Regions from separate parts of the Mus musculus genome. Here all the other regions are reported to be linked to region 5. The links are microRNA targets in miRTarBase. Many come from high-throughput screens and were not tested one by one. Region 5 holds a microRNA gene; each other region holds the end of a gene's coding sequence.
The links. Region 5 holds the annotated microRNA mmu-miR-5101 (UUUGUUUGUUUUGCUGAUGCAG, at 3,177-3,198, shown strand). A microRNA usually pairs through its seed, bases 2 to 8, with sites in the 3' UTR of a target mRNA and lowers its output. Matches are read on the target gene's strand: a 7mer-m8 pairs with bases 2 to 8, a 7mer-A1 pairs with bases 2 to 7 and ends in A, and an 8mer does both.

Region 1 (4,710 bases), not on the chromosome of region 5:
TGGAGCAGCTGTCTGGAGCTCACTTGCTAGCCAGTGCAGCAAACCGGTGACCCCCAGGCTAGCCTCAAACTCAGAGATCTGCTTTCCTCTGCTTCCTCAGTGCACCACTACCACCCAGCTTTTGTGGTTTCTTTGAATTAGGGAGTCGTATAGCACAGGCTTGCTTCCAATTTATGAAGATCCTCACTCAGTCTCTGGGATTAAAGGCATTCCTACCACATCTGTATTCATAACAGTTAATTATTTGTACAAATGTAGGAGTAACCTCAAAGGAGTTTTGACTTCTCAAGACCAGTTAGCTGGCTAACATTTAATATTCAAGGATAACTTGTATATATATTTTGAATAGATATTGCTTCCTGAGCCTAAAGAATATATATATATTCTTTTGTATGTATTCATGTGGGTGTATGTGCTGTGATTTACATATGAAGGTCAGAAGACAACTTTGTGGAGTCTGATTTGATCTCTCCTTCAACCTTAACTACAGGCTGTCAGACTTGCTTGGCAAGTGCTTCATACCCAGTATGCGTCCTGGGATAGAGGAGTGAACCCAGACTTTGGGCAACTGATGCTCTTTGCTTCTCTAATTCTTTTTTTTGTTTGTTTGTTTTTTTTTTTTTGTTTTTTTCGAGACAGGGTTTCTCTGTATAGCCCTGGCTGTCCTGGAACTCACTTTGTAGACCAGGCTGGCCTCGAACTCAGAAATCCGCCTGCCTCTGCTTCCCGAGTGCTGGGATTAAAGACCCTTTAGGTAAAAAATATATTTAAGCAATGGAGAAACCAAGTGAGTACAGTAATATAAAAACTTGATAGCTGTGGCCTTTCAAAATGTGAAAGAAAAACAAATTTACTTAAGATTGAAATTTTTAAAGAAGCTTTAAGGAGTAGGTAACAATTATGATAGGTTGGTAAGACTTCCTTGATAGTACCTTTTATTAGTTGTATGGAGCTCAGTACATAGTCTGTTGTTCATTTAAGATAAAAGTTCACAAATATAGTATATAGTGCCATATGAGCCACATTGTATTATACTCCAGAAGAAAAAAAATTACATGCTATATCAATGTATTTTAAAATTTCAGATAAAGAATTTTCACTGTAGGTACAAAATTACAGGTACTTGTTTGTTTTTGCTTTTGTTTTTTACTAAGTTTAAAACATCATGTTTAATTGTAAATATTCCTAAGTATATTTTGATTTATGTTTCAACAATGTCTTCTTACACTTACTTAGTCTCTGTTTATTGACATTCATATAAAAGAGCACACAGTCCAACTGCAACTAAGAACAATGATCTCTAAACTTGTTAAGCTACTGTAGTAATTTATACAATTAACAAGACAAAAATCAGAGCAAGTGATGGCTTACTTGATTTTAGTATAATTAAGACAGTAAGGTCAAAAAACTTCTATGAAGCAGAAAATACACATTTAAAAATAAACATTTTGGTTTTTGCTTACAATTTTACTTCTTTATGATTAATACAGGCAACATGGTTCTTAGTATCTTTTTACTTTTGTCTATAAAAATAAAATCTTTTAACATTCCTAAGTTATTCGATTTTCCAGCAAAGCTACTATGACCATTTTAAATGGCAGTGAGTAACTGAGTAAGAATTCAAAAAGTCAGTGGCACAAATTCCATACATACAAGATGATGTAACAGATACAGTGTTAAGTAAGCAGTTAAGAACACAGTACAGTATCAGCTGTATCTAAGAGGTAGGATTCTTAGTCACAGTCTTTCAGAAGAGACGCAGTGGACTCTGCTTTATCAGTTAGGATAGCTGTCTAGAGCTTGCTTCTCTTGCACTTAAAGTAGGGAAGAGAGTTTTTTTAGGCAACGATCTCATTGGCCTCTTTTCTGCATCTATTGTAGGAGCTTGGTTAGAAGCCTAGGGCATTTTTCTTGGTCAGTTATTGATCACATATAGTATTTATCTCACATTTTGAAAAGCCTCTGGATAGGGAAAAATAAATTTCTAGTTTCCTCCCAAGGGCCTGAGAAAGAGGAAACTATATTTTTGAACTATTCTGAGTATAAATTGTAAATGAAATCAGTATTTCTCTGGGTATCATAATTTTGTGTGTGAGGTAGCAGGGTAGTGCAAGATCATTAATACGTAATAAGAATTCCAGCAAAAAAAAATATGTGTATGTTTATATGGGTTCAATACCCAGATCTGACTATTGACTATCTCTACTTGACAATACATTTATTATAAACACTACAAGTGAGTGTAACTTAAATTCTGTTTCATGATAAACCTAAATCACTAGTACTTGAATAAAATTGTACTACAGACTGATAAACCAGAAAGGCAGAATGTTTTTGTATACATTGGCTTTTATTTCTACATTAGGTGTTTATAATTTGGGATTGTTCTAAGCCAATAAATGACCAGAGGTAATTTTGTGAGAGCTATAATAAAAACTGTAATAAATATGCATACCTAGTGCTAAGTCTTATGGTAGGAATATACATTTCACAAAATCTATCTGAACATTTATAATAAAAACAGTAATTAGAATAAAAAGCTATGACAAATACAATTTCTTCTGGGGAATTTTAGATTACCCTCCTTTGATCTGATCTTTATTATAATTGGGTTAGCAAGAAGAGCCCACCTGATTCTAGATGTTACACTTCTCTAGGTAAACTTGTTGGATCTGGTGTCATATTTATCTCATTTTTTTCCTTCATGTTTCTGATGGTTTTGAGAATTTAGAAAGGAGCTGTTTATTTACACTGATGTCAGATCTTTTCATTAGTATGTCCCTCACACCTGCTTGTGATAATGCATTATCAATACCAACTTAACACTGCTGATGCGTAATATAAAAATAAGTTCATCTTATCTCTAATTTAATCTTAGCTAACGTCTAGACAGAATGCATCTCAGTCACAAACATCAACTACCCTTTATATACCTTATATCAAAGACAAAGACACTGTCTAATTTTTATAAAGAAAGAATCCCTTTCCAGTTTTAATTATAAAAATGTTAGGTTTTGGAAGTATAGACTAAGTATATAAAAACTAATACTTGTGGATAATATTTCACATTATATTTGGTTGTAAAAATGATAGGAGTATTTTTTCAGTGGTATGCTTGTATTTACTTTTTTTGGAGAGATTTAGTAGAGAAAAGCTGATCTATTCAGTCCATGATTATATAATTATCAAATGATTTCTTCTTTTTTTCTTTTCTTTCTTCTTTTTTTTTTTTTTTTTGTTTATTTTTATTTTTATTTTTGTTTTTTCAAGACAGGGTTTCTCTGTATAGCCCTGGCTGTCCTGGAACTCACTTTGTAGACCAGGCTGGCCTCGAACTCAGAAATCCACCTGCCTCTGCCTCCCAAGTGCTGGGATTAAAGGCGTGCGCCACCACTGCCCGGCCATCAAATGATTTCTAATGTAAGGTATTGGAAACTTCTTTAACTTGTACCTGCCACATATACAGAGAAAATTCTAGGTAAAAGCAAACTGGTGGCATGTTTATGAACATTGTTAATTCATTTAATTCATATATGATATCTGGGAAAGATTTTTAACTTTAGGAAAATAGTTATTATGGCTTCATTCAATTAAATCTAAATTTTACATGACATCTTGTTTCATACTTAAGTATAAAACAAGTCAATAAAGTTATCTGGACATAATGATTTTCCTTTCATAATAAATTTTACATTATCTTACACTTACATACATTTCTAAAAATGTTATGGGAAATATGACTAATATCTTGACTGTGTAACAGTGTATTAGAATTTTCTACCTCTTTTTTTCAATGTTAAATAATCTGTGTTGGAGTTTTAAGTTCTACTTTTCCTCTTATCTTCAAATAGACTTTTCAGCGTATAAACTTGAATAGCTGACACCACCACCATGACCATCAAGTTAACCACAGACCAGAAATTGACTCTGTCAAAGTTGCTTTCTTGTATGTTTCGATCTCGAGCTTCAAATGCTCTAAGTAGAGTTTGTATGTGGCCACTTTTGCTTAGTCTGGACTTGATGCTGTTGATGGATTCCTGGAGATGAATACAATAATTTTACTATTAAAAATACTAAGAACATGTTTAACAATATGCTTCATGCTAGTTCTTAAAATACAAGACAATTTTTTAAATAGATGGGAATACAATTCAATTAAAGGGCAGGTATGACTTGTATCATCTAAAGAGCCCCCATGAAGTTATAACATAGTAAGGATAAATTTAAATTTCTTTAACAGAGGAATAATTCTTTAACCAGAAATCGAAAAAACAAGATCAAAGTATTTGAGTAGCATAGCACAGGGCCTTTTTTTGTTTTGTTTTTGTTTCTTTCAAAATAGGGTTTTTCTTTTCTTTTTTTTTTAAAGAATTTTAATATATTTTATTTATATGAGTACACTGTAGCTGTCTTCAGACACACCTGAAGAGAGCATCGGATCCCATTACAGATGGTTGTGAGCCACCATGTGGTTGCTGGGAATTGGAACTCAGGATTCTGAAAGAGCAGTCAGTGCTCTTAACCATTGAGCCATCAATCCAGCTCAAAAACCAGATTTTTCTATGTAGCTGTGGCTGTCCTAGAAGTTGCTCTGTGGGCTAGGCTGGACTTGAACTCAGACAGATCTGCTTGCCTCTGCCTCCTGAATGCTGGAATTACAGGCATGTGCCACCACTGCCCGGCAGCAACAGGACTTTTATATATACTGTC
Region 2 (4,710 bases), not on the chromosome of region 5:
ATATTGATATGAGAGCTTTCCTCTATGTGCTTCAGAGTGCAAGAGCTTTAGCCAGGCATGCCCATGGTGCTGTTAGCTACTGCCCAAGCATTCTCAGATGATCACTGTGTCTTCTTCATGCGGGCCTCTTCTGCTGCCTTCCCAGGACTCCCTAGTTCTGCACACTTCACTGCTGCTAGAGGCCAGGTATGTTCACCTTTGAGGTTTCTTCTTGACTGACAAGAGGTGAGGTGGAGCACCTTTGACTGTTTATGGGCCTTCAGATAGTTAAGGCACATGGATCTATGTGAATTGCCCGATGTAGGTTAATCATCAAAAAGAAAGTATTGTATGTCTTTTACAACTGGCTTTTAGAGCAGCAATTCTCAACTTGTGGGTTTTGACCCCCTAAAGAACATTGGAAAAATACAGATATTTATATTATGATTCATAACAGTAGCAAAATTACACTTAGGAAGTAACAATGAAAATAATTTTATGGTTAGGTGTCACCAAGACATGAAGACATGTATTAAAGGGTCGCAGTGTTAGAGAGGTTGAGAACCATTGCTTGGCTGTGAGTTATTTAACTCCTCCATGTGTATCGGCTCTAACCTTAATGATTTCCAGAAAGCAAACCTTTTATATTTCACGAGCATTTCTTTTATTGTTTAAGGGCTCTCTATCAGAGGGCTTCCTGTTAGTGTTTTTAAAGAACATAGTGGGAAGGTGTTAAAAAATGTTCTTAGTCCTGAACACAGGGACCCCAATGGAGGAGCTAGAGAAAGTACCCAAGGAGCTGAAGGGGTCTGCAACCCCATAGGTGGAACAACAATATGAATAGCCAGTACACCCAGAGCTCGTGGCTCTAGCTTCATATGTAGCAGAAGATGGCCTAGTCGGCCATCATTGGGAAGAGAGGCCCCTTGGTCTTGCAAACTTTATATGCCCCCGTGCAGGGGAATGCCAGGGCCAGGAAGTGGGAGTGGGTGGGTTGGGGAGCAGGGTGGGGGGGGAGGTATAGAGGACTTTCGGGATAGCATTTGGGATGCAAATGAAGAAAATATCTAATTTTTAAAAAGGTGTTCTTAGCACACTTGAAATGCCTTTTGGAATCAGTATGGTTGAACTTGACAGTAAAATAACCTTCTGAGCCCCCTTAATGAGAAGCCAACCCATCTTTCCAGGCTTGGCTTAAATAACTTCTTCATGGGAATGCTATTACCAGCTTCCCTCCTAGTTCATTAGGAAGAATATCATTGGGTTAGCTCCATACGTTGGTTACCCTTCAGAAAACTCCAAGCTGGCTTGCACTCCCCCACCTCCCCAGCCTCAGGGATCCTTAGTCCAGGCAGACAAGTCAGAAATGATGCCACACAGACAGTCATTCACCAGATATATTTGAACTCTAAGCTCTTTGAGCTGTACACGTGCACAAATGATTCAGTTGGTGGAAACCTTCCCCTTCCCCTCCATTTAAAAACGTTTCAAACTTAAAAGAGCGCTAAAGAGGTTTGCATAATGAGCATCATGGAAGTGTCCAGGTGACTTTCTCGATGCTGGGAGGTCCCGTGGCTTCCCCATTCCTTCTGGGGAAAGCTCCCCCTCCCCCGTCCCCATGCTCAATCTAGCGCGAGAACCCCTTGATCTGTAGCAGGTTAACGTCAACAGATGGCAATACAGTTTACTAAGACTAATCATCTGGGCCGTCTAGAACACTGAGTTCTTAAGGACTATGCAAGGTAGTCACACTCAACTTTTACTAAATTAGACATTTCTGCTATCATTGTTTGGAAGCGCAAATTATTTCCCAGACTTTCATTTTGTTTCTCTCTCTCTCTCTCTCTCTCTCTCTCTCTCTCTCTCTCTCTCTCTCTCCTGCATCCTGAAAGTTAATGTGGATTAGAAGGTCAGCCCCTGGTAGTTGACTGTTGTAATCAATCCATCTATACAACCGATTTCACTGTTTCTGCCACGAGAGGGCATCATCTCGCCACTATTTCTAGTCTTTCCATGGCCAATTTAAAAAAAAGAAAACAAAACCTTCCACAACAAAGGAAAGTCAAAGCCTTTGCTTACTGTGTACACTCCTCAGATCTGATTTTGAAAAGACGACTTGTTTTCCCCATGGAAACTTAGGATTCCACAAGCAATACTGTCCTCGGTCTCAATCGTACTGTACCGTGTCCGGCACTATATTGCTATATTTCACAGTAGAACGGACTTTTAATTTTCTGAATGATCAGTCTAGGTTTGAAGTTTCTGCGGAAACTAACATACACCTTAATCAAAAAACCACAATTATCCCCCCATCAGGTGGCTGTGTTAGTGTTCTTGTGTGTTACTCCGAGGCTTAGGCCATGAAAGTCCTTGCCTGTTGTGTGGTAAATGGTATTTGCATCCAAAGTTACTAGTTAATGAACAGGAATAGATGAGGCTTGACACATGGAGCAGAAAGTATGGTTCTGCAGGTGTATCTTCTGTAATGCACTTTGGGCTAGAGATATACAAAAGTCACACATAACAAAAACAAGGAACTTTTGAGCGCATGGGCATTGGATGAATGGGAAGGGCATCCGTTTACCCATCATCCTTTGTGCTCTGAAATGCTCAGCTGTATACATTTCTTGGATTTAGCGTCACCCAAGTTGCTTATAACTGATACTTGGATCTTTGTTTGGAAACAGGTGGTTTGGACAGCAAAGGTTGGCTAGTCAGTTATCTATTGGCATGAGACATTGCTGTTCCCTTTTACAACTTAGCACGAACCGCAATAGCATGTAATAGTATCAGGTTATCTACATTAGAATCAGAATGCATTCAGAAGCAACACAGGTATGATGTCATTAAGCAGCTAATGGTTGAACAATCACTAAATAAAAAACATCCAGATTTTAAAAGCACAGCTCAAACATCTGTACAAATATACAAAGGGGTAGGGGACAGTCATTCAGACACTATGAGATTTTATAATAAATAGGTTTGTCTGAAATCGGTCTCTGTCACTTGGACAAGCCTCCCCAGTAACACTGGGTAGACCTCTGTGGTAGTGATGTTCAACATCTTTGGGGCCATGCTCAATTTTACCTCCAGGAATTTGGCCAGAGTTATATGATGTAATTGACTCAAACTAATAATGATTCCCAGACTTATTGAGCTGAATGGTGCTGCGGATGCCCCTTGTCTATACAGGACAGGGCTGGGATACCACAAGTTGGGGCATACCCTCAAAATCATCAAAATCAATGCTGGTGATCGTGCATGTCCTGGGAATGTCGGGATGCAGAGGACTGGGTGAGACCAGATAGGGGGATCTCATGCAGTCAAAGCCAAGTTTACTTATGGTCCTATATAAGTGGCCAGGAAAAAAACATCACACACACACACACACACACACACACACACACACACACAGGACTGAACTGGAGCAGCTCACAAACAACATAAAGGCTCTTCATTACCGATGTCTCTGGCTTGGATCAACATGAAAGAACAGAGATATGGGCTGTACTGATTATTTAATAAGAAAATACTACCCTCTATCTAGAACTTTCTAAGTGATGGATTGTAGTTAATGGGTAGGAGTTGATTGGGAGACATATCACCTTTGCCTAGCCCTTTTGTCCGAGAGGCTTAATTACAAGGAAGGATTCGCAAACAACCAAACACCCAGGGACTTAAAGGCAATTAATTGTTTGGACAAACAACAAGGGGGGGGGCGGGAAGCATGATAAGAGGAGATGCATGTTATCATGGACGTGCTCAGTTGGACACGGAGGGTGGCAGGCCGGGACGCCGGGTCTGGATGATTTTTGGCTTTGGGGAAGTCTTTGGGTCCTCCTCCTCCTCCATGTCGCTGTCACACACATGCACCACGACGCTCGGTGTAGACTCAGTTCCAGCGTGCAGCTCATATTTCTCTCCTGAAAAGCAAGAGACATTGGCTGAGAAAAGGGACAGAGGTTTGTTGTTTGGTTGGTTGGGGTTTTTTTTTTTTTTGTCTATTTGTTGTTGTTTGTTGTTGTTTTGTTTTGTTGCTGTTTTGAGACAGGGTCTCTCTGTGTAGCTCCAGCTGTCCTTTAACTCACTCTGCAGACTAGCCTGGCCTCAATCACAGAGATCAACCTGCCTATGCTTCCTAAGTGCTGGGATTAAAGGCATGAGCCTGGCTGAAGGTGTTTTTAAATTCATTTTCTCATATATTACATCCTGACCACAGTTTCCTCTCCCCCACTCTCTCCCTGCATTTCCCCCACCTACCCCTCCATTTCTCTTCAGAAAAGGGCAGGCCTTCCATGGATATCAACCAAAGAGCATGTCAAATAAGACTAGACACCTCCCCTCGAATTAAGGCTGAACAAGGCAATTCAGTAGTAGGAAAAAGATCAAGAGAGTCAGAGATAGCCCCTGCTCCCACTGTTAGGAGTTCTACAAGAAGACCAAGCTTTACAACTATAACACATACCTAGGTCAGACTCATGCAGGCTCCCTAGTTGTCAGTTCTGTTTCTCTGAGCCCCTGTGAGCCTAAGTTAGTTGATTCTTTGGGTTTTCCTGTGGTGTCCTTGACCCCTCTGGTTCCTTTTGTCCTTCCTCTCCCTCAGGAAAGAGTCTTAAAAGCTGCTTTAGTAAGGTTTGCAAAGGAAATAGGTCAAACATGTTTTGGTGCATTGGGAAGCCTGCGATCTGACATCAGATGGAATAAGGCCTGTCTGTCATTGTGTCCTAGCTA
Region 3 (4,710 bases), not on the chromosome of region 5:
CATGGATTGCTTGGAGAGCCTGCTGCTTAGGCTAGCGGAAAGAAAGGAACCCTCTTTGCACTTTCTGCCTCTGTCCAGCACCCTACCGCCAGCACCCTCTCTCCCTAACCCCCCCCCCCCCCACTTCCCACTTCTGTTCGTAGAGCTTCTCAGGATGTGTGTTCAGGCAAGCCAAGCGAGAGAAAGAGATCTGTGAGGGGGCGTCTGGGGCCCAGTGTCCGTGCATATCTTCTTCTCCTGCTCATCTTACCATCTCACCAGGGCAGTTAAGTGTGGTGTTGGGGAGGAGGGCTGTGGCGGGAGGCTAGAGTCAGCCAGAGTGCAGGGAGTCTGGGGGAAGGTCAGGGATTGGAGTTGGGCTGCTGGCAGGATTCATTAGAAGCAAGGGCTCCAGTGTCCCTGCCCCTAAAAGGGTCTTTGAGTCCCCACATGGCCTGACCTATAGATGCCATGGCCCAAGAGTCACTACCTTTCCAAGAAGCTGTAAACTGACTTCAGAACAGAGCAGAACAGTGTGCGGTAACTGAAAGAGCTATGTAGGAGAGTCTGTGATCTAGCCAGGGAGCCACGTGGAGGGGTCCTTTACATCCGGCCCCAAGCCACCTGGATCCTGCCCAGCTTGGAGTTCAGAGCAAGTTCTGGGAAACCAGCTGAGTGGGAGAGAAGCCCAATTATTAACCTTGTTTCCAGGGCAGAATAAGAGCCACATCTTGGGACGATGCCCAATTCCTTTTCTTCCAAGTGTCCCTGCCAGGCCCTGCCCAGCACCTGGAGCAGACCGGTTCCTTGGGTTAGGGTCAGAATGTGTATCTTGCAAGCTTCTCAACTCCCCCACAGAAGTGGAGGATAGAGAAGATGCACCAAAATCTTTCTCTCAAGAATAAAAGTCATTCAGAGATCTGTTAGATCTCATTAGCCACCCACGGGGAAGAATCCCAATGACAAAGGGCTCACTCTCACTCTGGAGAGGTGGTCCTGAGAGAAGCCCAGAGAACTCGGCAAACATTTTAAAAGGCTTAACAGTGAATGTCTCCTAGGAAGTCTGCCTGCAGGAGAACTCGATGGGCTCTGCTCCCTAGTCCCAGGCGGTAGTCTCCCTCGGCAGCCAGAAGGAAAAATGTTAAATACGGGTCAGCACCTAGGAGTGGACAGCTCCCGGAGTCCCTCAGCCTGCAACTGCATAGAGGCCACAAGAGGTTGTTTTTAGGTGTGGGAACTCAGTGGAGCCGCTGGGCTCAGTTGCCGCTAGTCTGCTTCCTTTTTGGCATCCAGACTCCCTCCTTTCTCTTCCCTGCTTCTGTTAGGAAGATCTCATTTTGGGTCATGGACCTAAGAGCCATTAGCATATCTGACCTCAACCCTGAACAATATTACATTCAACCTCACTTTAATCCTAAAATGATCGTGTTTTGAGACGGGTAAAGGCACCAAGGGAAGGTTCTTCAGGGTCGGGGGGAATCCTTAGGTCTCCTCAGGTTCTAGGATGCAAGTTTTTAGGACCCAGACTCCCTTTCAAATTTTTCAGAGCTCTGATAGGCACTGGGGTCTAAGGAGGGAGGAGGCATCTTTTCTGGAAAGCCTTTGGCCAAGCTGTCTCTGCCTCTAGGGGTTATGGGGAACAAAATGATGAGGTACAAGTGAAAGTGGTCCTCCTGAGTGCTTTCCATCAAGGTCCCCCTTTTCTAGAACTGCAACAGAAAAACAGACTGTGCAGGCATTAATCAGTGCTGCCCCTTTTGCTCGTGTCCTTAACCAGGGGCCCCCTTCAGATTCAGCATCCAACTTTATTCACATCCCCAAAATGTCCAGGGTCCATTCCTTTGAACCCACTGAAACAGAAGTTTAAGATAGAAAGGTGATTGTTTCCATTAATATTTTATCCTCATGATCTCTCTCTCTCTCTCTCTCTTCAAGAATATCCATGTCTGCCCCCCAAAGGTTCTCTTTATTTCCACTCCTCTGGCTTTTGTAACAGTAAGTCAAGGGTTGTAAAATGGTGGGATGGTCCCGCTTTGATAACTGTTCATTGATGGAAAGATGTTTTGTTTTCAGAGAAAATCCTTAGGTGTTTGGGGGAGCTGGATGGATGCAAGTAGAATGCAGGGGTGCTTTGTGCTGGGTGCCTATGTAAATCTGGGTGGGGCCTAGGAGGGGCAGCGAGTGAGTGTGACTGTTCATGAGCCCACTGTGGTGAGTGAGTGAGTGTGTGTGTGTGTGTGTGTGTGTGTGTGTGTAGGTCTTGCAGTGTGGAAACCCCACCCAGGAAAGCCCTCAGTTATTTTCTTGAGCTTCTGAGCAGTCATTCACTCGACATAGCCTCAATCACTCCAGCCCCAGATCAGTCCTTGCCCCCACCCATAAAAGGAGGCCACTGTGAGAAAGCGGGTCTGCTTTGCATCTCATTTACATAAATATTTATTAATCGTCATTAAACTCAACAGAAACACGCAATGCACTTCGGGTGTCCGACAGGAGTTTCATCTTCGCTACAAGAGGAAGGTAAAATTGCGTGTGTGGGGTGTGTCGCCTGTGGGTTTGCGTTTTTTGCATCGTGTGTTTGGGTGCCTGGTTCCCTGCCTCCGGTGGGGGGGGAGCTTCACCTGTTGCCTCTTGCGAGGGGAACCTCCAGAGGAGCCCTCAGTTCTCCCAGCTCACTGGATGACAAAAGTCAGGAGGAGCCTAGAACCGAAACACAAAACAAAACAAAAAACAAAAGCAACAACAACCCCCCCAACAAACAAACAAACAAAAACCCAAAACAACCCTCTCTAGCCACCAGAAATCACCAGGAGCTTGGCGCCCACGGAGGCACAGTCTGGACAAGGGTAAGGCTGTTCCCAGGTCTGGGCTCCTCCACCTTACCCCAAGAGGGGACGGACCAGAGTGCCTATAGAGAGGAGGTACCAGTAGACAGCTCCTTCTGTCCCCGGACGCCCGGGGCCTGCGTGTGCGTGCGGTGTGGTGTGTGTGTGTGTGTGTGTGTGTGTGTGTGTGTGTGCGTGTTCGCGCGCGCGCGTGTGTGTGCGTGTGTGGTGTCTCTCATGCAAACCCTCCCTCCCCAAACCGACCCCCCCTAACAGTTTGCCATTCCATACAAATTTGGAAACAGGTTTTTAGAAAACAGTATGACGCACAACGGGGCAGGGCGGGAGGAGGGCAGTGGCACTGGGGTTCCAAATCTCCGAGTCATTGATTGTAAGAAACTGGGGGGGGGGAGGGGCGGCGCGGGCCCCCACTTCACCAAAGTGCACAGATCCGCGCGTGGGCGGGGCAGCCAGCAGACCCGAGGAGCACCCAGGTCAGGCTGCTAGGCTCAGTCAGAACCTCCTTGCATAGATATTTGTGTCTTTTTAAAAATTATTATTGGTAGTATTTTTTATTATTATTATTTGCCTTTTATTGCTTCTAAAAGTTCTTAATGCGTTTTCTCTCCGATCCGGACTCTGAGTTCGGCCTCCGTTGCCTCTCAGTATTTTTTCCTTTTTCTTTCTTTCTTTCTTTTTTTTTTTTCCTTTTGTATGTTTGTTTGTTTTCTTTAAAAAGGGAAAAGGAAAAATGGTTCTAGTTACAAATTGGCTTGGCCTCTCTCTTTCCTCTCAATCCACATCCCCTCCCACCAAAATAAAAAATAAAAAACGCGGAGATTCGTGTTAGGGTGAAGGCGTTTGGGCTCCCTGGCTGTGGCCTCTTCGAGAAGGAAGAGATACCAACTCTTTTCGGCCTGGGAAGCTCTGTGTCTGTTTTGTTTTTGTTTTTTTAAAGTAACTATAAGTGGGGGAGACACTATCCCGAGACTCAGCAGCCCCTTACCAACTGCCTCTGGCCTGTTGGGAGGTGGGGAGAGAAAACCCAAGTTTGGGAATGTGGAGGAAGTCTCTTGGGAGGGCCTGGCGGGAGATCCCCAGAGATGCTCTCCACGAGAGAAGGGAGGAGGAAGCCCGCTGGGGAGAGAGAGAAGGCGAGTCCCCAGAGGCAAGCGAGGCCCCTGGGACGGGCCACCCACAGGTAAGAGAGCACGCCGCTCTGGAGAGCTGCAGAACCGGCGGCCCGCGCTCGAGCGCCCGGCTCTGGAGTCGGTGGGAGCCCCTGAGCTCGTGGGGCTGGGGCTAAGGGGCCGGACAAAGGCAAAGAAAAAGAAAGGGGTCGGCGCGAGGTCTCAGTTATGGAAAAATGCGTTGAGCTCCTCGTACATGGGGCCCCGATCGTGGTGAAGGTGCATATCGTAAGACAAGAGATTCTCGGAGTGGACGCCCCCGCGCACGGCCGACGAGCCGAAGACCAGCCCGTGGCCCGTGGGCCGTGAGCCGGGCAGCGCCGAGTAGTGCATAGAGTAGTGGTAGCTCTTCTCGTGATCGGGGGACGAGTCCTGCTTGAGCGAGAAGTTGCCGTTGAGACAGAGCGGGGGACTGAGTGGACCCTCGTACTCGGAGCTGTTGTAGTCCGGGCTAGCGCCGCCGCCACCGGCCGCCGCGTACAGCGTCTCGTAGGCGGCGCAGTAGCCGTGGGTCCGCAGGGCGTGCGCCGCGCCTCCGCCCAGGCCGCCAGCCGCCTGACACTGTGCGCCTGCCAGGCGGGAGCACGGGTATGGGTACGGATGCATGGCGAACGGGCCACCCGAGCCGTGAAAGCGGCCGGCGCCGTCCGCGCCCTGCTCCGTGAGGAAGTTACGAGAGTTTAGCTGCAGGCAGCCGGCCACCAGATTCGTGGTGG
Region 4 (4,710 bases), not on the chromosome of region 5:
GATCATTTCTAGTTAAAATACTAGCAATTCAGTAATAGAGATCCATAGTGAGAAGTTTTAGCATAGCTTTAAGGCAATACTAATTGAAAAAGGCAATAATAAGTATTCCAGCACAGGGGAAAGCAGCATTTCCCTCCTGACTTGTAGAAGCACAGCGGATGAATTGGACTCAGCAGCTTTGGCCAGGTATGGTGGCCACTGAAAGATCAATGCATTTGTCCAAGTTAACCACATAAAAGATCTTTACGGACCAAAAGAGGCAGTACTGCCCCTTGCAGCAGCCTGATGCCCTGTATCCGTCGGAGAACCCACAGAAGTACAACAGCATGCATGGCTTTGAACACATCGGAGTCTGCCCCACTTCCATGTTTAAACCCAGTTTATGTGCAGCAGCATGACATTAGAGGAATTGGCTGCTGACCATGGCTAGAGAACTTACAGCCCTGTCGCTTATCTTGCATGTTGCTATGCTTTGCTGGCAGCAGCGGGGGTGGGGGTGGGTGGGGTGGGGCGGGAGGAGAGGGAGAGGGGGAGGGATTATAATGGAACCTATTGCGTTTCACCGCGTTAAATTTTATCCTTTTCTACTTAGTATGTTTTAGGACTGGTTTTTGGTTTTCAGTTTGCAGGTTTTTGAATAGCAAGCATGTGTTTTCAGCTAGACTCTTGGGTGGGTGTATATCTGTCAGTGAGAGAAAGAGCTGTTTGGAGAATTTACAGATGTAGGCTGGGGGTGCCTTTGTTTGAGGCTGAGTCGGAGTTGGGATTTGTGGGGAAGGTGTACAGTGCTTATTAACTGGCTCTTCTCTCTGTCCCCACATTGCCTCCGCAGATGTTCCAGCCCATCATTCTGCTTATCCTCATCCTCGTCTTGTTCTCGTCCCTGTCTTACACCACAATATTTAAACTTGTCTTCCTTTTTACACTGTTTTTTGTACTGTAAATTTTCCATCGTTTGCTGTCCGTTGTAGTGTTTTCAGTTGTTTTTATTTTGTCCACCCTTCAAGACAAGACATAAAAGAAGTATCATTTCTGTAGTAGCTGATGCTGTAAACAAAAAAAAAAAAAAAAAAAAAACACTGAAGACTGCACATCTCTGTAAAAAAAGACACAACTCATCTTACACTGTCAAATTCACTAGGAAACCCCAGCGACCAAAGTGTTTCAGGTAAGGAAAAGTGAGTTATCAGAGTTCTGTGGAGCTCGTCTTTCTCTGCCTTTCTTTATACCTTTCTTTGTTTTGCACTCTTGAGTCATAGTTGACTGGCTGACTGTGAAAAATGGACAAAGTCTCATAATTATTCTGTAGGAATTGAGTATTATTTTACACCTGGAAAATTTCAGCTGGTTGCATTTTCAAATTCATGTAGAGGCATTAATTATAAGTCAATGTAGATGATTTATAAATTATCTCTGTTATAAATTATGTAGATTTGTAAGCATGCTGTTACTCATGTTAGACAAAAAGGAAAACATCAATGTCTAATAAATATCTGTTGAAAATATGAAATGAGAAAATGTAGCTCTCTTGGAAAGTAAATAATGTTCTGACCCTGACATGGTCTGTCTCCAGAGATGTGTTTGGAAGCATGAATCTAAATCTAAAGACCTTTCGGTTTAATAAGAAACTAAATAGTCCCCTCCTATTGAATTTTCCCCACTTTTCACTAACCCAGCTATCTCCACTTCTGTATTACATGTGAAGCCATGTATCACTGACTGACCATGTTGCTTGCAGTCCTTTCTTTTCTATGATTAACTACCACAGAGAACTCCCTTCTTTGCAGAAAACCTTCTAGAAACAATATGAAAAACAGCTTGAGAAGGGAAATAAATACAATGTCCAGAATTTCCTTGAGTTACAATCCATACCCGAAGCATCATCCCAGTAGAAGCCACTCTGCAGACCTAAACTTACTTTGGTGACCCCTAGCGTCCCTGTCTTGTATATATCTAAAGCCACCTGGTTGGACTCTATGTACTGAAGGTTCTATTCTGCCCATCTTGTTGGTAATTTACCCACCGTAATCCCAGAGTACATCAGAATTCCAGCACTGGTCTGAGATGCATTTATCCTAATACTGGGGAAGGTAAGACAAATGGACTGTGAATTTGAGGTCAGCCTAAGCTATCTAGCCAGACCTCAAGTAAAAAGAATAAGAAAAATCATATTCTTCTTAGTTCACGAATTAGTCTTTACAAAAACCTGTGATAAAATGATGTATCTGTACAACAGGAAACAGATCCTGTGGAAAAGTTTGCCAGCTAAAAAGTGTGCAGGTAGGCCTTTGGAATCCCCGGAATTTCATCTGCAGGAAAGTGTTTTATTTCATTTCCCTGCAGATCCACTTTTTCTTTAAATATTAAATTTAGGAATGTTTTGCAGGGAAATGGTTCAGTAGGTAAGAGAACTTGCTATGCAAGCATGAGGACTGGAGTTCAAATCCCCAGGAGATCACACACAAAGAGCTGTGTGTGGCTATGCGTTGGGGCTGGGCATGCAGCAACAAGGCCAGAAGGAGGAACATATTAGAGGAGGACATTCAAGATCTTCCTCTGGCCTACACAAGTGTTTGTACTTGCATACATTGCATATGCATGCAGTATATACATATACCATATATTACATACACACACACAAACACATGCATATACTACATGCATATACACTACCTACTACACACACACCACATATACAAACACACCACATACTATGTGCACACACATACCACCTACTACACACACAAGACATAACACACATACCAAATAACACACATACCACACATGCACACTATACATACATATACATAACGTCCCCTTTTGACCTTCATAAATGCATGTACCTACATATTCACATGCATGCAGTACCTCCATATGTGCACATACACACCACAAACAACATCCTTCTCTGTCTTTCACTAGATACCCATACTATGTGTGTGTGTGTATGCTCACATATATATATATAGTAACTGTATATACACACATACACACCCACCACATAACACTACAACACACTATACATACAAATCACAACATATAGTACACACAACACACACACTTCACATCCATACACATAGTATCCCCTTCTGACCTTCATAAGTGTATGTACCTGCACACTCGGATGCATGCAGTAGACACACACACACACACACACACACACACACACACACACACACACACACATACACAAAAACACACATTTAAATTTAGAAAGTTTCACAGCAGTTGAAAAGTTTAATTTAACTGCTCTTAATGTCCATTATCTTTTCTATGCTTGGGATTTTCTTTTTACTTTGTTTATTTAATTTTAATTATTTTGGAGGTCAGGGAGGAAAAGTATTGTCTAGTGAATAGTTACCAGCACTTGGAATCAGTCAATAAATAGATTTTGTTTGATTGGATGTTTTCTCTTTGGTTTTTCAGTGTTAGTAATGGAACCCAGAATCTTGTATATGCCAGGCAAATGCTCTACCTTAGAACTATATGTCCAGCCACATTTGGCTTTTAATCTTGAAATTCAAAAGACTAAGGATTAGGTAGGCTTTCAGAAGAAAAGAGGAAACAAGGGAGAAATATTCTGAATTTGATCAAATTGGTGGCACAAGTCTATAGTCAAAACAGATGGGAAACTGAAGAAGGAATCCATGGCAAGTTTGAAGCCAGCTTGGGTTACAGTTAGAAACTGATTCAAAACCAACCAGTCATGTAACAACAACAACAACAACACACACACACACACCTTAAAAAGTCAAACCTGTCTGCTAGATTTTTTTTTCCATTTTTTATTAGGTATTTAGCTCATTTATGTTTCCAATGCTATACCAAAAGTCCCCCATAGCCACCCACCCCCACTCCCCTACCCACCCACTCCCCTTTTTTGGCCCTGGCGTTCCCCTGTACTGGGGCATATAAAGTTTGCGTGTCCAATGGGCCTCTCTTTCCAGTGATGGCCGCCTAGGCCATCTTTTGATACATATGCAGCTAGAGTCAAGAGCTCCGGGGTACTGGTTAGTTCATAATGTTGTTCCACCTATAGGGTTGCAGATCCCTTTAGCTTCTTGGGTACTTTCTCTAGCTCCTTCATTGGGGGCCATGTGATCCATCCAATAGCCAACTGTGAGCATCCACTTCTATGTTTGCTAGGCCCAGGCATACTCTGACAAGAGACAGCTATATCAGGGTCCTTTCAGCATAATCTTGCTAGTGTATGCAATGGTGTCAGCATTTGGAAGCTGATTATGGGATGGATCCCCGGATATGGCAGTCTCTACATGGTCCATCTTTTTATCTCAGCTCCAAACTTTGTCTCTGTACCTCCTTCCAAGGGTGTTTTGTTTCCACTTCTAAGGAGGGGCATAGTGTCCACACTTCAGTCTTCATTTTTCTTGAGTTTCATGTGTTTAGGAAATTGTATCTTATATCTTGGATATCCTAGGTTTTGGGCTAATATCCACTTATCAGTGAGTACATATTGTGTGAGTTCCTTTGTGAATGTGTTACCTCACTCAGGATGATGCCCTCCAGGTCCATCCATTTGGCTAGGAATTTCATAAATTCATTCTTTTTAATAGCTGAGTAGTACTCCATTGTGTAGATGTACCACATTTTCTGTATCCATTCCTCTGTTGAGGGGCATCTGGGTTCCTTCCAGCTTCTGGCTATTATAAATAAGGCTGCTATGAACATAGCGGAGCATGTGTCCTTCTT
Region 5 (4,710 bases):
GCTCTTGCAGAGGACTCAAGCTCAGGTCTCCAGTAACTACACTGAGTGTCTCACAACTCTCCAGGGGACCCAACACCCGCGTTTGGCCTCTTTAGACACCTGCATCCACACAAATAGACAGATAGACACCCCACACACACACACACACATCCCATATACACATCGATGAATAATAACATAAAATCTTTAAAAAATACATTATTAGTAGAAAAGTCATTTAACTGACTGTTGTCCACATTGTCTTCTAGTTTTTCTTTACTCATAAGTAGCTTATGGCAATAACAAGACAATGTTAGCCTTAATACTGAAACTGGCTTCATATGTAAGCTTTAAACAATTGTAGCTGCATCAGATTATACAGAAGTTTTTAAACCCTAAGATTTAAAAACTAAATTTCTAGGGTGTTCTTAACAGGATTTCTCAATAAGAGAATAATTTCTTCAGAAAATGTTCTGTTACATTTTTACCTTAGAAATGTTGCTTTATATCTTGCCAGAGCATTTGTTTCACATGACTTTAAAAGGAGAAGAGAGGATGGAAGGACACAGACACAGACACACAAAGACACACACACACACACACACACACACACACACAGCACAGGGCTGGGGACACTCTTGAAGATACATTTGAGTTTCATGTGTTTGAATAGAAAAATTAAATCACAGGATTTCTTTAAATGCCAAACAGATTTCTGACACTTGGTCAATTCTAAAACCTGTTTGTTTTCCAGAATCAACAACGTTTTGGGTAAAAACTTCATCCCACTCCTGGAGTTTCATGACTCTAAGTGCTCAGTTCTGGCTTTGCTTGATGAAGCGAAGGCCAAGTTGGATGTCTGGAACGGCACTTATGAGAGCAAGGAGTCTGTGGAAGTCCTGCTGGAAGACTGGCATGTGAGCGGCTGCGGGCTGGGCGTCTGCTTCCCTCTCCTGCTGTCTGGATTAGCTCAGGGATTCTCCCTTTCTGGGCTTGGGTGTTTGTTGGTAGGCCTCGTTAGCTTCAGTTTCCCTGGAGAAAACCATCAGTGGTGGTCAAATAGCTGCTAGAGAACGAGTAAGAAGATGAGGATTGCCTTGGTCAAGATGGAGTTAGGATGGTTAGGGCCATAAAGAAGGCTCCGTTGTGGTCTTTTCCCATTACAAAGTTTTGCTTACTTTTGTTCTTTTTTTCAATTTATGCTTCCATTCAACGGTTCTCTTTTCTTTGAAAACTTTGGTCTTAGCCCCTCAAGTTTTTTTTCTTTTCTTTTTTTATTATTATAATATCTAAGTATACCCTAGCTGTCTTCAGATGCACCAGAAGAGCGCATCAGATCTCATTACGGATGGTTGTGAGCCATGTGGTTGCTGAGATTTGAACTCAGGACCTTCAGAAGAGCAGTCAGTGCTCTTACCCACTGAGCCATCTCTCCAGCCCCCGCCCCTCAAGTTTTATTTTGAAATTTAAAAAAATATAGTTTCAGTTACTTTGGTGCTTGCCACGGATGCGTGTGGAGGTCAGAGGACATCCTGTGGGAGTCAATTCTTCCCTTCTGTCACGTGGGTCCCAGGGACCGAATGCAGTCCTCCAGGCTTGGTGGCAAGTGCCTTATGCACTGTGGTGCCTTCTTGGCTGCCCTTCACCCAAGTTTGAGTAGGAAATGGCTTAAATGCTTCAAAGAAAAACCCGTCACAAAAACCAAAAGCATAGGCGTGTCCTTACAAGCATAGGTGTGTCCATGCAGAAATTCAGATGGAAACCCCATGGGGCGCCTTCTTTATGGGAAGGGAGGGTGGGGAGACTTGAAAAACTCAAAATTATAAGTTTCAAGGAAATGGAAGAGGATGATGAAGACATACATATCTGTTTATAATTGATCATTTAAATATTATGCTCTTCCAAATTGGAGGCATCATTCTAAACTGGGCTAGGTTTTATTTATATATAAAACATGGAGAACAGTACTACATATAACTTTTTGTCTTCTCTGAAGTTTTGTTTTGTTTTTTTTTTCTGGGCTTTTGTTTGTTCATTTGTACTTTGAGATAGGGTCATATGTAATGAGGTTGGTCTTGAACTCCCGATTCTCCTGTAAGTGTTAGATTACAGGAGTGTGCCATCATGCCCAGCTTTGGATTTACATTTCACTGGTTCAGTAATCATAGTAGTTAGCTAGCACAAAATAAGAATATAATCAGTGGTTCTTAACGTTCCTAATGGTGTAACACTTTAATACAGTTCCTTACGTTTGGTGACCCCCAATCATAAAACTATTTGTTGCTACTTCATAACTGTTATTTTGCTACTGTTATGAATTGTAATGTAAATATCTGTTCTCTGATGGTCTTATGCAACCCACAGGTTGAGAACCGCTAATATAATAAACAGGCGGTTTAGAGTCGGCTCTGAGTTAGCCCCAGGATTTTCCACAGCTGAATTAGTTAATGATAGTTTCACAGCCTTCTTTGTGCAGGTGGGGATAGCTTCTGAAAAAGTAACCTAATGTAGCTAATGAAGACTTACTAATTAGTGTGAATAAGGCCTGGGAAGCCTAAGCTATTGACACAGTTACACAATGTTACTAAGACGGACGAGCTGGAAGGCTTGGATCTGCTATGACTGATAAACTTGCTTTTTCCCATCAGCTGGACGCAGTGTAAAGTCACATGGCTATGTTAAGGTGAATCTGCTGTGATAGCCCTGTGTCATTGTGCTCTTGCATCTCCTAAGTCCTAGCCACCCTTCCTGAACCATTCCTTCCATTTCTGCTGCTGCAGTGTGGTGGTATTGAATACTCAAACATTGCTGGCAACCTTGCCCTTTACTGACATCACATACTGACATCTGGATTTCTTGGCACATTTTCAAAAGTAAAATCTGTCAACATTTTTTTGCCTCTCCTTCACAGAAATTTACTGGAGAAAAAAAGTTCCTAATTCAACTTGATGCTTCTTTTCAAAAATGTGAAGAAATGTATAAGAACTCGGGTAAAGTATCCTAGTTGCTTTTTAATGGGTCAGCTATCATTTCAAGATGAGTATTGTTTTACTTTGATGGTTTGGACATTAACTGTTTTCATCCCTGCTTTCCTTTCTTTTGCTTTTAATATTGTTAGGCAACATGCTTGTTGGTTAATGCAAATAATTTTCTTAGTATCAGTTACAAACAAAAACCGTTTTGTAAGACTTGTTGTTTTTGTTTGTTTTGCTGATGCAGCCAGAGAATGTGAGAGTATTAGAGAGGAGTATATGATGCTGGAAAAGAATGTTCACTCGTGCAGACAATACATCCATAACACGAAGGCCACACTGCAAAGAGCACTGATGTCTTGGGCAACTTTCGAGGAAGATCTCGCCCTACTAAAGGCTTCTTTTGACTTGACAAAGAAGGAACAAATTAAAGAGGTATTTGAAGTCAATGGTTCTATCCCAGTTTTACATTTTATTTTTGGAGACTGACTACATACATACACCATTCAAGTTAGGGATTAAAGGCATGCATTACCATGTCCAGCTAGAATGAACTTTTCTATTTCTTTTTGTTTGGAAGCCCATTTTGAGTCCAAAAGTTGAGTGTCAACAAAGGAGTAAACATATCTTCTAGAAAATTCTTCAAGAATTTGGGAAGAACTTAGTTTTTTCCTAATGTAATTGTCAGAGAGTATTTCCTTTGAATTGTACACACACACACACACACACACACACACACACGTTTACATAATAATACAGCTTTTTTTTTTTTTTGGATCACTCTATCAAGAACCTGGAGACAGGTTCTTGGCTATATGATCTAGGCTGGCTTCAGAGTCAAGACTCTCCTGTTTTCATGGGACTTCCTTTCTGATAGGATTACAGGCATGTCCTACCATGCCTACCTAAATCACTGTTTTTAAGAATTACAATTTTCCATTTAGTTAAAACCTTTTTCCCCTACATCTTTTCTGAATTTCCCTCCTACAGAGGGTCCCAGATTCATTTGATCAATAGAGGCTAATACCACCTTCATGATGGTTTTCCTTAGTCTCTAGGCCAAGAATTATTTAACACGTCCCAATTTAAGTCATCTAGTTTCTAGTTCCACAACTTAGTAGCAGCATGGGTTCTAGGAGATAAATGCTGCTGAGACCACGCCAGAGTTAAAAAGCTCTAACAAGATCTCTGGCATCATGGCAGAGGTTCGGGATTGTATGTTCAAGATGGCATTTTCTGAGTTATGTATATTTTAATATCAGATGTGTGGAAGGAATGTCAGTGCAACTATTATTTTTGTATGCCAGCTAGGAAATAGCATGTGTTTCTGTCACTCGCTTTTGTAGTTGAAAGTGGACCAAGACAGCCTTTCACTCTGAATGGAGCAGAATTACTTTGTGGACAGTAGGCTCTTGGTATGGAAGAAATGCAGGGAGTATAGGAGTGCACAGAGAGCACCTTAGACTTAGAAAGTTCCCTCGTCTCCCTGTCACCTGGGTTGGTCCTATAAGCTCATACCATTGGTTTTCAATAGTTCTTCTGTCTTTCAGGGTCTGATATTAAAATGTACATAAACCTGGGGAAAGTTGCCGTCTTGAATGTGACTCTGCTGAGATACTCTGGGCTTCCAGAGATCTTAAAAGAGACTTTGAATTTTACAGGAGACTTGGTAGCATCTATCACATAGACACTGTGCCAGTATTACATATTTGCCCTAGATGACTTAGGAAATTCTTGGCCTTGATATTAAATATCAAGT

Region 1: miRTarBase lists Tmed5 as a target of mmu-miR-5101. Seed matches in the 3' UTR shown: 7mer-A1 at 3,257-3,263, 7mer-A1 at 3,235-3,241, 7mer-A1 at 1,139-1,145, 7mer-A1 at 1,127-1,133 and 7mer-m8 at 1,124-1,130.
Region 2: the mRNA of Rcan2 is a reported target of mmu-miR-5101. Seed matches in the 3' UTR shown: 7mer-m8 at 3,671-3,677, 8mer at 2,652-2,659, 7mer-A1 at 1,802-1,808 and 7mer-m8 at 1,766-1,772.
Region 3: the mRNA of Neurod2 is a reported target of mmu-miR-5101. Seed matches in the 3' UTR shown: 7mer-A1 at 3,748-3,754, 7mer-A1 at 3,742-3,748, 7mer-A1 at 3,526-3,532 and 8mer at 3,522-3,529.
Region 4: miRTarBase lists Soga3 as a target of mmu-miR-5101. Seed matches in the 3' UTR shown: 7mer-A1 at 1,052-1,058.

What each region holds. Positions count from the first base shown.
Region 1 is chr5:108,120,723-108,125,432 of GRCm38, forward strand. It overlaps Tmed5 (transmembrane p24 trafficking protein 5), which reads right to left. Exons shown (of 4, transcript NM_028876.3): 4 at 834-4,037. The coding sequence ends at 3,819. Among named protein-coding and RNA genes, the nearest start is that of Tmed5, 9.5 kb to the right of the region's middle.
Region 2 is chr17:44,036,165-44,040,874 of GRCm38, reverse strand. Rcan2 (regulator of calcineurin 2) reads right to left here. Exons shown (of 5, transcript NM_207649.1): 5 at 1,359-3,902. The coding sequence ends at 3,742. Among named protein-coding and RNA genes, the nearest start is that of Gm34857, 5.2 kb to the left of the region's middle.
Region 3 is chr11:98,323,029-98,327,738 of GRCm38, forward strand. It overlaps Neurod2 (neurogenic differentiation 2), which reads right to left. Exons shown (of 2, transcript NM_010895.3): 2 at 2,389-4,710. The coding sequence ends at 4,157. Among named protein-coding and RNA genes, the nearest start is that of Neurod2, 4.3 kb to the right of the region's middle.
Region 4 is chr10:29,198,113-29,202,822 of GRCm38, forward strand. Soga3 (SOGA family member 3) reads left to right here. Exons shown (of 7, transcript NM_026138.2): 7 at 833-1,518. The coding sequence ends at 943. It also overlaps a transcript of 9330159F19Rik not described here. Among named protein-coding and RNA genes, the nearest start is that of 9330159F19Rik, 11 kb to the right of the region's middle.
Region 5 is chr12:75,905,978-75,910,687 of GRCm38, forward strand. It overlaps Mir5101 (microRNA 5101), which reads left to right and starts at 3,126; the gene lies at 3,126-3,208. Syne2 (spectrin repeat containing, nuclear envelope 2) reads left to right here. Exons shown (of 116, transcript NM_001005510.2): 14 at 734-896; 15 at 2,891-2,969; 16 at 3,199-3,386.